Rhinolophus ferrumequinum: one gene and its partner. The protein of the gene in region 1 purifies or fractionates together with the protein of each later gene. This does not show direct contact. Links are inferred from orthologs where the notes say so. Each region holds a gene or a part of one and is shown on either strand. Other genes may lie near its edges.

The links. The genes of interacting proteins can lie anywhere in the genome.
Region 2: the proteins of SMC1A (region 1) and CDCA5 purify together in Homo sapiens (affinity purification with mass spectrometry; 7 studies listed by BioGRID and IntAct, counting the BioPlex papers as one, with this or other methods). This does not show direct contact. The link is inferred for Rhinolophus ferrumequinum from reciprocal best matches to the Homo sapiens genes SMC1A and CDCA5.

Annotation. Positions count from the first base shown.
Region 1 is NC_046284.1:82,385,883-82,392,921, reverse strand, and holds the start of SMC1A (structural maintenance of chromosomes protein 1A), read right to left. Parts: upstream 3,014-7,039; 5' UTR 2,933-3,013; coding exon 2,824-2,932; intron 1-2,823. UniProt on the Homo sapiens protein: Involved in chromosome cohesion during cell cycle and in DNA repair. Central component of cohesin complex. The cohesin complex is required for the cohesion of sister chromatids after DNA replication.
Region 2 is NC_046294.1:6,518,245-6,525,813, forward strand, and holds the start of CDCA5 (sororin), read left to right. Parts: upstream 1-4,568; 5' UTR 4,569-4,734; coding exon 4,735-4,780; intron 4,781-5,014; coding exon 5,015-5,106; intron 5,107-5,184; coding exon 5,185-5,250; intron 5,251-5,329; coding exon 5,330-5,365; intron 5,366-7,569. Other genes in the region: cation channel sperm-associated auxiliary subunit TMEM262, read left to right, coding at 1-46, 153-220, 333-639; ZFPL1 (zinc finger protein-like 1), read right to left, coding at 729-915, 1,426-1,549, 1,787-1,933, 2,007-2,079, 2,176-2,369, 3,502-3,613, 3,919-4,020. UniProt on the Homo sapiens protein: Regulator of sister chromatid cohesion in mitosis stabilizing cohesin complex association with chromatin. May antagonize the action of WAPL which stimulates cohesin dissociation from chromatin.

The sequences.
Region 1 (7,039 bases):
AAATGTAAACAGTGTAATAGTAGGTAACAAACCAGGGAAGAAATGGAGTCTTCTTTTAACTGTATTATAGCCTTTGGTATTTTTTTGAATTTTATACCATATGCATTGATTAGCTATTCAAATACATAAAATTGTTAACATTAAGAGTGACAGTTTTTACTTTCTTCGTTTTAGACTCAGGAAAAAAACATTTTAAAAAATCTGGACTGGGACTGGAGGTGGGGAATAGTTTAATCTCTATAAATTCTATCTCAAGATTCTCCCCAACTATGTTATATGACAGTGAACTTTGGATCTGATTTCCAACACCGATCTACTCAGCTATAAAAACGGTAGCCCAGGTCCTTCCATGGAGGCAGCACAAGACAGATTAAGAGCTCGGGGTCTAGTCCAATAGACCAGGTTGTATAACCTTAGTTTCACTACTCCTTAGCTAACCTTCTATTCCCTCACCTGAAAAATGTGAAAAAGCATGACTCATAGGTGAAGCATCTAAAACGATGCTTGGCACATAGTTGTCTGTTAGAGTGGCAAGAGCAAAAGCTTGCAAGTGTAACAGACATGGGTTCCGATTCTGGCTCTGAGAACCAGTATGCAAGTCATCACAACTCTGTGCCTCAGTCTCCTCAAGTATAAAACAAGGATAACGGGATCTCCCTTCTAGGGTTATTGTGAGAATTTAAATGTAAAAGGTCCCAATAAATAAAGTACTTGACATACAGTAGGTGCTCAAAAAAACAGTAGCCCTATCCTAACAACAGTTCTAGACTCAGCTGTCTCCCTCATCACAGCAGGACTAGCACATCATGCAGACCCGGAGTCAGCCTTTTAGGCACCCATTTCCAACCTTTGGGCTTGTCCCATGCTCTCCAGGAACAGTAAGAATATCTCACAACCCAAGGCCTCCCTACTCACAATCACTCAATATTGTAAACATTTTTAATAACATGTATTATGAGCTGAATGAACAGTGATACAGTTTTAAGGAATGTCTTCTTTGGGGCATTCATAGCACAGACCAGTGATGAAGATACAAAAACATGCCATGAATACGAGACAGGAGAAACCAAATGTTCAAGTGTATCAAGTGTCTACTGTGTGCCTGAGAGGAATCAAGGAATGCCTTGTGGAGGTGGGCACTGAAGAATGGGGGGCGTGGGGGGGCGAGGAGGACAGTCAGACCAAGAGCCTTTTGGAGCAGCTGAGGGGGCTATACAATGAGGGGACTAATGCCAAGAGGTGCATCCTGGCTCTTTCCCCCACACCAAAATACTAAGAAACTGGAGTGGGACCCCAAGTATTAGCCCTCCAGGCCAGTGGTTCTCAAACAAGGTTGGGAGGGGATGATTTCCCGCCCCCTTCAGGGGACATTTGGTAAAATGTCTGGAGACATTTTTGGTTGTAACACCTGGGGGGTAGGGGTAGTACTGTCAGTAGTGGGTAGTAGCCGAGGATGCCGCTAAACATCCTACAATACACAGGACCGACCCCTTAACAAAGAATTATCTCGCTGGAAATGTCAGTAAGGCCGGGGTTGAGAAACCCTGCTCAACCGAGCCAAACCGGGGCAAGACTCCAGGCAAGGCTGTCAGTTAGAGCTACTTCAGCAAGGGCAGCTCCCCTCAGGCTAGGAAATGATTTAGCTAGAACAACTCTGGGGTGAAGCACAGCAGGATTCCAAACAAACACTCGTGGGGGTAGATGGGAGGAATCCATGGTGTATCGTTTAGAGATGGGAAGTTCAGATATGTAACAGAGGCCTTATCTAACCACCCTTTCTTTTTTTCCCAGTTTCACTGAAACAGAACTGACATGACATATTAGTTTCAGGTGTATACCATTATGATTCCACATTTATATAAATTGCAAAATGATCACCGCAATTAGTTAACATCCATCACCTCACATAGTTAACATTTTTTCCTTGTGATGAAAACTTTTAAAATCTACTCTCTTAGCAACTCTCAAATATATAACACAGTACTGTTAACTACGGACCACTCTTTCCAAAGACACCATCCACGTCACTCTATCACATCAACCTGTGTTATTTCCTGCACAGCAGTTATCACAACCGAAAATTATTCTATTTTCTCCTTTATTATTGTCTTTCCCATCTGGAATGTAAATTCCCTGGGAGCAAGGCTTATTCTATTTTCCGCTATTTCCACAGCACCTTGAATAAATTCCTTATAAAACAGTAAGCATTCAACAAATTTGGTGAGCGAATAAGTTCCGAGTTTTAACGGTTTCAGTGGTAGCAAAGGGGCGAGTTCGAGGCATCCCCACCTCTAAAATGGGGACGGGGTGGAGGGTCGAGACGCGAGCGCTGGGTCTCAAATTCAAAAGTGCCGCCTCCGAAAAAGAGTTTAAAAAAAAAAAAGAGGAGGAGGAATTGGAGCGTACCAATGCGAAGCGGGACGGGTAAGTGTACCGTTTGAGACCGGAGGTCACGGGAGGGCTACCAGCAGTCCCACATCTTCCGGAGGGTTCTTACAAGGCGGGGAATCCAGCTAGCTGGCAGCGGGCTCGGGACCGCCACTTTTGGCGGGAGGGGGCAGAGGGCGGGGGAATATAGAATCCGGGGCGTACCACTGGGGCCGGAGCGGGGGCCGCGCGAAGAGCGGCCAACTGACACCTGGGGAAAAGGTTCAAGTCAGAGCTCCTGAACCGGGAAAGCAGGTTTGGGCCGAACCCCCTGAGGAGCGGCAAGGAACCTGTTAGGGTTCCCGACATTTCAAGTGGCACGGGCTGGGCTGTACTACTCTGCTGCTGGATAGGGGGTCCGGGACGTGCCCATGGCCGCAGCCGGGTTTATCTTACCAGAGCCATTGGGTCCAATGATGGCGGTGAACCTCTGAAATGGTCCGATAATCTGTCGACCCTTGTACGACTTAAAGTTCTCGATCTCAATCAATTTCAGGAAGCCCATGACGGCTACGGCGCCGGCGGCGGTACGAATGGCCGCGCCGTGCGCCGAGGAACCGAGGTAGCCTGCGCGGGAAACACCGCAATGCAGGCCGGGCGGACCCCAAACGTCGCGAGAATAAGTGCAGGTCGAACGGGATTCCCAGCTTCCCGTGGGCGGGAGCTAGGGGCGGGGCCTTCGGGCTGACGCGCAGGTTTGTTGATCCGTTGCCAAGGAGCGAGCCTACGACGAGCGTTTGGCCCCGCCTCCCTTTCTTGTTGCTTGGCAACGCAGAGCGCCGCCACTACTGAGAGAATTGCAGAGGCAGCGGTGCGGGAGACTGAACAGCTTTCAGGATCTGAAAAAGCAGACAGAGTTCACTCTTGCTAACACAAGTCTGAAGTCACTACAGGGTTATGCCCTGCAGGGCGAGAGGAAGGTGGGAGTTCGGCTTTAGCCTGGCGGGCCAGAAGGCTCAGACAAGAATAGAGTGGGGTACTGGAAGGACCCCGGGGAGCGGGGAGCCGGAGGCTGTACAGGAAGGAGGGGCCAGCGGGAGGATTCGGTGTTAGATGGGCTCAGATCCTACTATGGCTCGGGGTTGGAGGCGGAGTGGGGTGGAGTTAGAGGTGGGATGGAGTGTGAAGGGGGATGGGGTGTTAAGAGCTACGAGGGTACTCGAGCCACAGGGATAGGGCTGGGGAAAGCCGTGGCCAGAGGTGCTACCCCTGTCCCCTGCCTCCCTCCTTTTCTTCCAAGCAGAGTTCAGAGACTGACGCTGTAGCCCAAGAACAGACTTGGACCTGAGCCACTTGTTGGCTATTTGAACCTAGACCCCACCTAGGAGCTTCAAAATTGGGACGCCTTGATAAGAAAGGTATTTTGTGTGAACCCTTAGGAGTCAAGGTCCCTAACCCAGTGTTCTCCACCTTTATCCTTCTTCTCTTCTCCCCCCTTTATCTATCTCTCTCTTCGTGCCTCACCTCCATGCCATTCCCTCCTCTCCATCCCCCTCTGCCCCATCCCTTGCTTTCCCCTTCCTCTTCTCTCTCTGCCCTCTGTCCTCCACACCCACCAACCGCCCTGTTGCTCTCCTTCTTTCCTTCTCTGCCCCCTCACTCTGCTCTCTCTGTCCCTTTCCTCTCTCTGTTCCCAATCTTTTTTATCCCTCCCCTTCGTCGCCTCATCGCCGTATCACCTTATACCTGCTCATTACCATGGCCATGGCCTTAGCAGTCCAAGAAGTTTAAAATGTCTGCTGAGTCTTCCCCTTCAGTGACCTTATATTGTGGTGACAAATGGAATGAGTAGGCTGGAGTTGGTGCTTAGACTTAGACATGGAAAGGGTCTGGTGGTTGCCATAGCCATTCCTGTAACTATTGTTTAAATGATGTCCAGAGGCTGAAAAGAGTCTTAAAGTTGTAGGACAAGTCCAGGAAAGTGAGCAAGTTTGGTTGATAGACTCTAGTAGAGAAGAGCCATAAATGAAGTTCAACTGGGAGGAACAGTCATGGTCAAGCTGAGGAGTAAAATGGCCAAAGGACAGCAATCTGACGTGAACTATTGTTTCATTTTAAAAGATGAGCTGGAGCTTGGGGGGAAGAATCAAATTGAATCACTGCCTCTCATACCATACACAAAATGCAATTCCAAATGGATTAAAAACTTAAATGAGAAAGGTAAACTTTAGAATTTTAGAAGAATATACAGGAGACTATATGACCTCAAGGGATTCTTAAATAATAAAAACTATTATCAAATAATAATAAAGTGAAAAGACCAGACACAAATTGGAAACGTTTGCCACATATAAACTAAGAAATGGTTAGTGTGTAGAATGCATAAGGAACTCCTAAGATTAATAAGAAAAACAACCTGATTTTTTAAAAAAAGAACAAAAGATATGAATGGGCACTTCACAGAAGAGTAAACAAAAATGGCCAAAACACACATGAAAAGATATGCAACCTCATTAGTGATATGGAAAATTCCAATTAAAATTGGTTATTATAATTTTACACCCACACATTGGCAAAAATCAAAAAGTCTGCAATACGAAGTGTTGGTGAAGATGTGAAGTAACAAGTTTTTATACACTATCGTCAAGGTGTAAACTGGTACAGTGTCCTTGGAAAACAAGTTAACATTATCTTGTAAAGTTAAATACGCTTTAAGTGTTATGATCCAGCACTTACACTCCTAGGTGTAGGCTAGAGAAACCTTCCCACCTGTATATATGTCTCTTTTAATCTACAGGTTCCTCCTCTCTCTTTTTCTCTTGCAATTACAAAAAAATACACTGAGTTTGTGCCACAGAGTCCTAGTCTCTGTTGAACCCACTTCAGTCAGGCTTTTGGCCCCATAACCCCCCCCCAAGAATGTTCTGGTCAAGGTCATCAGCAATCCTCATGTTAGTAAATCACTTCTCAGTCCTCCTCTTAACCTGTCATCAGTTGCTCACTGTCTCCTCCCAAAAGCACTTTCTTCACTTGGCTTCTCTGACTCTCCTGGTTATTCTCCCACCTCCCTGGCCAGTTCTCCTGAGCCTCCAGTGCTAGGTCCTCCTCTCGTCATCTCCCCCTGGGACACTGTTACCCATTTACATGCGCTCCCTTAGAGATCTCTTATAGCCTTAGAGCTTTAAATTCCTTTGTATCAGTCAGGATTGGTTAAATGATGCGAAGGTGATAAACAACCCCCAAATCTCTGCAGCTTATAAAAACAAAAATGTATTGCTCGCTCCCCCTTGTCCATTGTGGGCTGGCTGCATCTCTGCTGTGTCATCATCCCAGGACCTAAGCTGAAGGAGCAGCCCTTACCTGGGACATCACCAGTCTCATAGCAGAGAGTAAAGACAAAAAGTGGCTCTCACCTAACAGCCCGTAGTTCTGCTTAGGAATGGCACGTGTCAATTCTCACACTGGACAGGGCAAAGCAAACGTCATGGCTAACCTCGAGGGCAATGAGATAAGGACGTAGAATGTTCCTGTAGACAGGAGCAGCAAATCTTTTTGAACAATAATAAAATGTATCATACCGTTTGTATGTGATTGATGGACATCTATTAGACTCTCAAACTCAGCAGTCCAAAACTGATCTCCTGACCCTCCCCCCATCCCATACATCCCATCTGCCCACACAGACTGTTCAGTTGATAATAAGTGCATCCCTCGGATTGCTGAGGCCCAAATCCTTGAAGTTATTCTTGATACTGCTCTCACACCATACATGCAACCCATCAGGAAGTCCTGTCGGCTCTGCCTTCAGAATCTAACCACTTCTCACCACCTCTGCTGTTACCAACCTGGTGTGTCTCTATCATCTCCTGTCTGGACAACTGTGACAGCCTCCTGTCTGGTCTCCCTGCGTCTAGCCCTGCCTCCCGTACCTCCAGTCTATTCTTCACACAGCAGCTAGAGTGATCCTTCAGAAATCAAAGGCAGAACACGTCCTTCCCGCTGCTCAAAACCCTCCAATGGCCGCCCATTTCTCTCAGAGTAAAAGCCACAGCCCTTACAGTGGTCTGCAAAGTCCTACATTCTCTGTCCCCTCTGTCATCTCTCTAATGTCATTTCCTACCTACCTCTCCTCCACTCACACGCTTGCCACATGCTGAATGTGTGCCCCTCATGTCCACCATCAGGCCTTAGCACTTTCTGTTCCCTTTGCTTGGAGTACTCTCCTCCTAGATATCTGCATAGGTGACTCCCTCACCTTCTTTAAATATTCGCTTAAATATTACCTTCTCAGTTATGCCTCCACTGACTTCAATATTTAAAATTGCACCCCCATTTCCTTGGCACTTCCAGTTCCCCTTATCCTGTTCTATATTTTTCCCATAGCATTTATCATCTTACAAACTATTTAATGTACTCTTTATTGTATATCTGCCCCCACTAGAAAGTAACATCCACAAAGACTCAGATTTTTATCACTTATGCTGCTTGGTGTCTCCCAGTGCTTCAAGGAGTGTCTGACAGTAAGAACTCCACAAATACGAGGTATGATCAAACAATATAGTGAATGTTTAAATTTGAAAAAATGTGTTACAGTAAAAGACACATTGCCCTTAATCCCCCTCAAAATACTCCCCCTCGCTTCGAACACACTTATCCCATCATTCTTGCCACT
Region 2 (7,569 bases), on another chromosome or scaffold:
CCACCACTACGACCGCATGAGCTTCCACTACACCGTGGTCCTCATGGTAGGCCGTGGCAGGGGCTTAGGGGCTGGTTGGCGGAGGCCCAGGGGCTGATGGAAACCCCACTGTTGTATCAGGGGGCCACTCTCCCACTGGATGGGGCCTACAGTTCTCCCAGGTGATCAGTATCTGCTGGGCTGCCATGGGGTCGCTCTATGCTGAGATGCTAAACGACAAGTTTCTTCGGTACTTTGCCCTGACTGTCCTGAGTGAGTGACGGAATGGGGAGCTTTGGGACCCCGAGACGTGGAGGGGGCAGGGAAGGCTGATGGGGGTTCTCTCCACCCAGTGCTCAATGGAGCCATGTTCTTCAACCGTCTGTCCCTGGAATTTCTGGCCCTCCAGTACCGGGAGGAGAATCACTGAAGCTTGGGGACTGGGCTGAGGTGGAAGGAAAAGGAAGCTTCGGGTGTTTTAATAAAGTCTGTCATTTATTTCCACCTGTCCGCTCCTGCATGGGTCGGGGAGGGTGGGAGGCCGGAGACCCAGGGGAAGCAGATCAAGACGAACGCTTATCTGCAGGGACCCCAGGCCCAGCCTGCAGCCATTCTGGTAGATTCGGCTTTGGGCCTGGGATCTTAGTGTCTCAAGCCTGAGGGAGAGGAGCTGAGAAAGGCCCCCAGACTGTCCCACGTCCCCTCCTCAGGCCCCCAGTTCCGAGGCTTGCCCAGACACAAGCAAGGTCTCAGGAGGGCCCCACACGGATGTGAGGGTTCATGAGTGGGTCCAGGTTGGGGTCACTGTCAGCTGCAGCCCGGCCCAGGCGAGACATGAGGACAAGGAGGGCCAAGAAGCCCAGCAGCCCCAGCAGCAGCAGCAGCCCCGCCCGCTGGAGCAGGGTCAGAGGCCGCTTACGAGACCCGGCCCGGCTCCTGGGGGGACGAGGGGAAAGTCAGATCAGGCCCCCAATCCCTGGGGGCCCCGCGGCCTGGCGAGGAGCCCTCATCACGATACTCGTCTTCTGGCCCCAGCACCACCATCAAGCCTCATTTCCTCAAGTGAGCCATGGGGACGAACATCCCTGGCCCTGGCCACTACAAGGGTGACCGTGCCGCTCAAACCAACTGAGGCACCGACTGTTCTGGAAACCGGAAGGTGTCAGACATGGGGACAGTTACAAAGATCGGGTGGTGGCAAAGCAGGAAGGGGCCTCAAAGAGCCCGAGTTGAAACCTCGTATGTAGCAGCTGAGGAACAGCCCTGGAGACGGCAGACCCAAGAGTTCTATTGCCAAGCAGAGACCTTTCTATTCAGCCCCAACACCGGGGCCCGATATTACCCAGGGACAAGCCTCTTTTGTCATGAAATTGTCGTGCCCGGGGACCGGCTCTCACTTCCCTTCCTCCCCCTTCCTGGCATCCTGCCCCACCTGACCCTGTGTACCTGAGCAGCTGGGCCAGCCAGCCCAGTGCAGGACGGCGACGGTACTTGTCATCGTCGTAATCCCCGTGGAGGCCTGGTGTCCGGTCATCGTCCCGCGTGTCATACACCTTCCTCGGGGCCGAGGCTGCAGGGGCAGAGCCATTAGCATACACCGGCTCGGGGAAACTGGCCCACAGCAGGGGGAGTGGGGACGGCAGGAGATCCTTGCCTTTCTCGGCCTGACAGTAAATCTCAGAATCGTAGAGCGGTAACGTCTGCGCTTAGAGTGAGGAAGGGTCCCTCCAGATGGGTCTCTGGACCCGAGCTCCCTTCACCCCACCCCTTTTCTATCCTCCTCTGGCCTAGACAATCCCCTGCTCACCATGAGTCATGGGCTCGGACCCGCTCATGTGGATCACCGTGTGTTGCTCAGGCCGGCTTGGGGAAGCAGGGGGCCGAGGGGCTTGGTTGTAGTAGGCTGGGGCAGCAGAAGCACTGGCTCTCTCTTCTTGTTCAGCGGTACCATTGGCTGTGGCACGAAGAGAGCCGTCAGCAGGGCAGGGAGGCAAGGGCCCCAACAGCAGGCGGAGACTGCCACTCACCATTAAAGCTGGACCAGTCAGAGAAGTCGGAGGTGTTGAGGGGCTCAGGCTCCGGGCTCACCACCTCATCAATCTGAAGGAAGGAACCTGTGTCACCAGCCTGCCCAGTGCTCTCCCCACCCACCCATCTGGCCCAGGTGGAACCCTAGACAGACAGAGGGACTCTCACCAGAGGAAGGCCCAATCCTGCCCGGGCCCAGTTGACGGTGGCCAGCTTCTCTCTCAGCGCGGAGGCCACGGGGCCAGCCAGGTTAGTTGGGGGGAAGATGGGGCCACTGCAGCTGGGGCACTGGTAGCCAGCAGGCGCTGTATTTTGGGGCAGCTGGGCAGCACGTTCATTGAGGCAGGCCCAGTGGAAGAGATCTTAGGGCCCATGAAATAGCAGAGGAGGGGCATGAGGAAGAAGACACTTTGTACCCCTAGCCCAGCAACAGCCCCTAGCCCACTGCAGGAACATATGCACACACACATAGAAGCCCAGGGCCACCTCCTTCCCATACTCGCCCCAGGTCCATTTCGTCAGTGTGCCCTCGGCCCTATTGGCTACCACCATCTGACTGAATCAAAGCAGATGCTACACAGCCTACCAGGAAGTGGGGATGGGTGGAAAGATGATGCCGTAAGCTCCTTGATTAGCTAACAGTTAATCAAGAACAATTTCAGAAGAGCTTCCTAGACATACACACAGGCACATATATGCCTCTACACCTCCATGGGCACACATACCTGTGCTTATATACACATAACCAAACAAGTGCCATCCCTGCATCTATCTTACAGGCACACTAACTCTCACACATACACATCTACACACTCACTTGTGTGCTAACACTCAAGCACCCTCACCCACACACTCTTCTGCAACCCCACGACACACCTGTATTCTTATGTTCACACGCAACATTTACCCATTCACTCACCCACAAGTACTAATGAACTCACTAACACTTATGTAAAGACACAAAGCACATTAAATTCATGCACGTATAGCCATGCACTCACACTAAGAAACACCTACGTGGAGCTCACTCTTTTGCACTAGCTTCTCCAAAAAAGGGAGCTAAAGCTCGTACACAACGTCAAGGTCATGACACATGTCTGCCGACTGCTTTTAGCTGACTCTACTATGGGAAACTCGCTTCCTTTCTGTTTAATCCTGGAATCAGTAATGGATCCTGAATGTCTGAAAGGCCCATGCCAGTCTGGCCAGCTCACAGCCTCAACCACGCCCACAAGTTTGACTGCCTCTTGCTCAACCCTTGAGATTGGAGGGAAGAAACTAGGAACTTTCATTTTTAAGGAGACATTGAGGCCTAGAAAGGAAAAATGACTTGCCTGAGCTTACAGAGCAGGTTAAGTAACCCAGCAGGATTAGAATCTGGGGCTCCAGCCTTCATGGCTTAGAGGGGTCTCACTGTCCTGCTACTTAGGGAGGGCTAGGAAACTAGTCACCAGGCTGGGCCTATCCTGATCCCCCCAGGTGCCCAGGCCTCACCATAGCAGACAAGGCGGGTCGTCTCCCGAGTGGCCAGGGGTATGTTGCACAGGCGGCAATTGGGGTTGTAGTCGCTATCTTGGAGCCACTGCAGGTAAGACTGTACGATGCACTGGAGTGGGAGAGAGAGGTCACAACTGGAGCTGGGCTCCACAGCCCAGTTCCCTAAGGCCCAACTGCCTCTTTATCTCTCATCACAGAGGAGACTTATCCTTTCGTTTGTTCAATCAATAAACATTTATTGAGCACATACTGTGTGCCACACTGTCTTAAGAGGATATAGGAGTGAACAAAATAAACCAAGTCCTTGCCCTCGTGGAGCTTCCATTCTAGCGCCAGGACCTTCATGGATTTGGAGGATGCCAATACCACTTGCCCTCCCAGTGCCCTGCTCAGCCGCTCCCCTGAAGGCCCCACCTTGGCGTGATTGGCTACCAGGCAGTGCTCGCAGACGTTGACCCGGTGTTCGAAGCAGAACAAGTTGGTCACCTTCCTCTTGGGGCACTTGCAAAGCCCCATGGTCGACCCTGGAGAAGAGTTGGTAGGGAGCTAGGTTCTGGTGGCCGCTACGCACTCACCAGCCCAGTTCGTTTCCATTTTTAACTCCCCTAGACACTCTCACGTTCGCCGGAGCCCCAACTTCCTGCCCACCGCCCCTCTTCATTCCGGACCACGCTCCCGGCATAAACCCCGCCTCCGAAGACCACTCTTTCCTCCTGGATCCCGCCCCCGGCCAGGCCCCTCCATCAGCGTCTCTCCGATACCACCGGCCCCGCCTCCAGGGGCCCCTCCTGAGTCCCACCCCTCGAAGCCCCGCCCCCACTTTCTCCACAGACCCCCTCTCCGTGTTACTGATCCACTCGGGCACGGGTCCCGACAGACGCGCGCTGGTCCAACACACGGAAGGACAGACACCGCGCTCCGCGGACCTCCAGCTCAGCTCTTTCCAGTTCGGGCCGCTCCTATTATGCCCCGGCTGCCACGTCTCTTCCGGGTGCGGCGCGCGCCGATGACGCCAGCGCGCCCCTGGCCCCACCCCGGCTGACGGTACACTTGAGACCGGTGAGGAAGAGGCGACCCAAGTACCGCGGCCCTCCCGCCTTACGCAATTTCCGCTTCCTCCTGGGTAGGGCGGGTAATCCGAACGTTTTTGCTTCAGAAAGGCCCTCGGGTTGGCGCGAGCCCGGGAGGCGGCGGCGGCGGCGGCGGCGGCAATCCAAACGAAGGCTAGACATGTCGGAGAGGCGAACGCGGTCTGGAGGGGCCTCTCAGCGCTCTGGTGAGGGGAGGGCGCGCGGGAGAGACGGGGCCGAGCTGTTTGAGGGTTGCAGTCCCATGACGAAGGCCCTCCCCGTACCGCCCTACGATGGATGACCCACGGCCCACCTTCCGCCCCGAGAAGGCTCCCCCAAAGTGCCTCTTGGGGGACCTTTTCTCACTGTCTCCAGAACCTGTGTTCCAGACCTTGAGGTCCAGAGCCCTCCCCTACCTCCTAACTTTTTTCTCTTTCCAGGACCAAACACCCCATCTTATCAGTCTCTGCGGAGGTCCCAGCGGAAATCAGGCTCCGATCTCCCCAGCACCCTCCCTAACATCTGGCCGAAGGTGAGCCCGGGGTTCCTCAGTTCCTACCCTAGAGGTCTCTGGACTCACGTAGAGCTCATGGTCACCCCTCTTCTCCAGGCACCCCCGGTGGCTCCAGTCAAAAAGCCCATCGTCTTGAAGAAGATCGTGGCCCATAGTGTAAAGGTGAGGACTGAGAGAGAGCTTGTGGGTGGGAACCACAATTAGGGGCCGGCTCTGTGATCAATAAGTGTTGTCTCCACAGGTCCCATCCATCCGCTCGCCTCGAAGGAGCCCTAGGGTGAGTTCATTTTCATTTGTTTTGTTAAGTAGAATCCAGGACATTCTGGAGCTGGGACAGACTGTAGAGGCTGGGACAGACTATAGTGGCCCACATTGTTTGCTCAGGAAGCTGTTTCGCAGTATTTTGAAACAGTTTGCCCTTGGACACCTGCAGGCATTGCCAACCTTGCTTACTCCTTATAGACTTAATATGTTTAGCTCTTGATGGTATGTTCAAGAGATGGTACGTTCTACCATTTTCCTTTAAACGTTAACTGTGTCCTAACTTTCTTTCTGCTCCATCTTGTCTGCAGTTTTTTTTTTTTTTTTTTAACTTTATTTATTTAAGTGTTTTTCCAGGACCCATCAGCTCCAAGTCAAGTAGTTTCAATCTAGTTGTGGAGGGTGCAGCTCACAGTGGCGCATGTGGGAATTGAACTGGCAACCTTGTTAAGAGCGCCGCGCTCTAACTGAGCCAAACGACCGCCCTTTGTCCTCAGTTTTTATTTACGGTTGTTGTAATATGAGTTATGTGTATGATGGCTTTGCAGTTTTAGCAGAAGTCAAGATGTTTCATTAAAATCTGTGCCTGAGGATATAATGAATGAGAAATGCCAACTGTTTTTGAGGAGCTCATGGGGCTTACAGTCGAGTGGGAAGAAAGACAAATGAACAGGTGATAACATAGTATGCTGAGGACTGCAATACAGAAAGAACTAGATGGTATGAAGGCACCTAACCCAGACCAGGTGGCTCAGGGAACATTTCATAGAAGAAGAAATATTTAAAATGAGTCTTTAATCTTTATAGACAAGTAGGAGTGTCTGTAAAGGAAGCTGTATTTGCAGAGATCTGGATTCCACACACACATTGAAAAAACAAGGTTTGGGGAGCAACAGCTTCCTTTCTTGGTATGTCTGCAGCAGACCTTGATAGAGGAGGGCGCGTGCTAAGCCAGAACAGAATAGATCCTGATGAGGCATGAAAGCTGTGTTTGAGACCTTGGGTTTCATCCTTGGCACTGCGGGCAGCTTTTGGAGAGTCTTAAGCAAGGTAGTGACTGAGTTAAACTTTGGTGTTTGAGAAAGCTCCCTCTTGGGGGTGGGGGTGGGGGGAGCTGGGTGGAGAATCGGCTGGAAAAAGACTGCCAGGGGTTCCAAGACCAAGTAGGAAGACTTGACAGGAATCCTGAAGTGACATGATGGGGGCCTAAAGTAAGGTGATGGCAAAGTGATGCTCCTCCCCCTGGCTCACCACATGACTGTCCTATCACACAGGACTCAGCTCAGTGGAGACCTCCTCCCGGAAGCCTTCCCTGACCACCCCTATCCAGTCACTGTCACATTTCTTAATGTAATTCTTAGGACTTATCAATGGCTCGGGGTAATTTGTTGTCTTTCTCTCCCCAGTAGGTGCCTTGAGGGCAGAGACTGCCACCTCCCCCATGGTAGTCACTCATTCTTGTTGGTTGACTAATAAATTCATGAGACAGTAAACAGAAAAGGCTGCGACGACTTGGGTGACTGCTTGGCCATAGGGAATAAGGAAGTAGTAGTCGGGTAACCGCCATGTTCAGCATCCCTTTGACGAGACGCATGGGGCATATTCTCCAGAGCTTGCAGTCGTGTCTCTTTTTGATAACCAATGGACTTCCTTCTAGCTGACTGTAAGAGTCATTGAATTTGTCTCATTTTCCTCTTGTCTGGGCTGCCAGACAGCTCAGTGCCAAGTTTCGTGTACATTAATTGGGTTTTGTGTACATTAACTTACTGAACACCTCTGCACGTGAGGCTGTGCTGAAGACGGGGGCACAGGCAGGGTCAGCCAGACAGATAACGACCCCTGCTCTCATGAAGCCCATATTCTATTGGGGGGATGACAGTCAACCAATGGACAAGCCCAAACCAGAAAGTGATGGTTGCTGTACAGGAGAGCGTTGTTGTGACAGAGAGCGACGAGCAGAGGTGAGGAGGGTCTGATCTAAACTCCACGGTAAGGGACAGCCTCCCTAAGGAAGCAGCCTCTGAGCTGAGTGGAATTATAGGGGACAGTATGTGAACCTCCTAATCCGCACGCTCTGTTCACAACCTTGCCAGGGCTCCCTGGGTCTCCCCTGACAGTGGCCTAGAAAAGGCCCTAGGATGCCCCCAATGACCTCTCATGCCCCGTCTTTAGTGCCTCTCCTTAACTTCCACTCGATTCAGGCACACGGGCCTGCTTGTT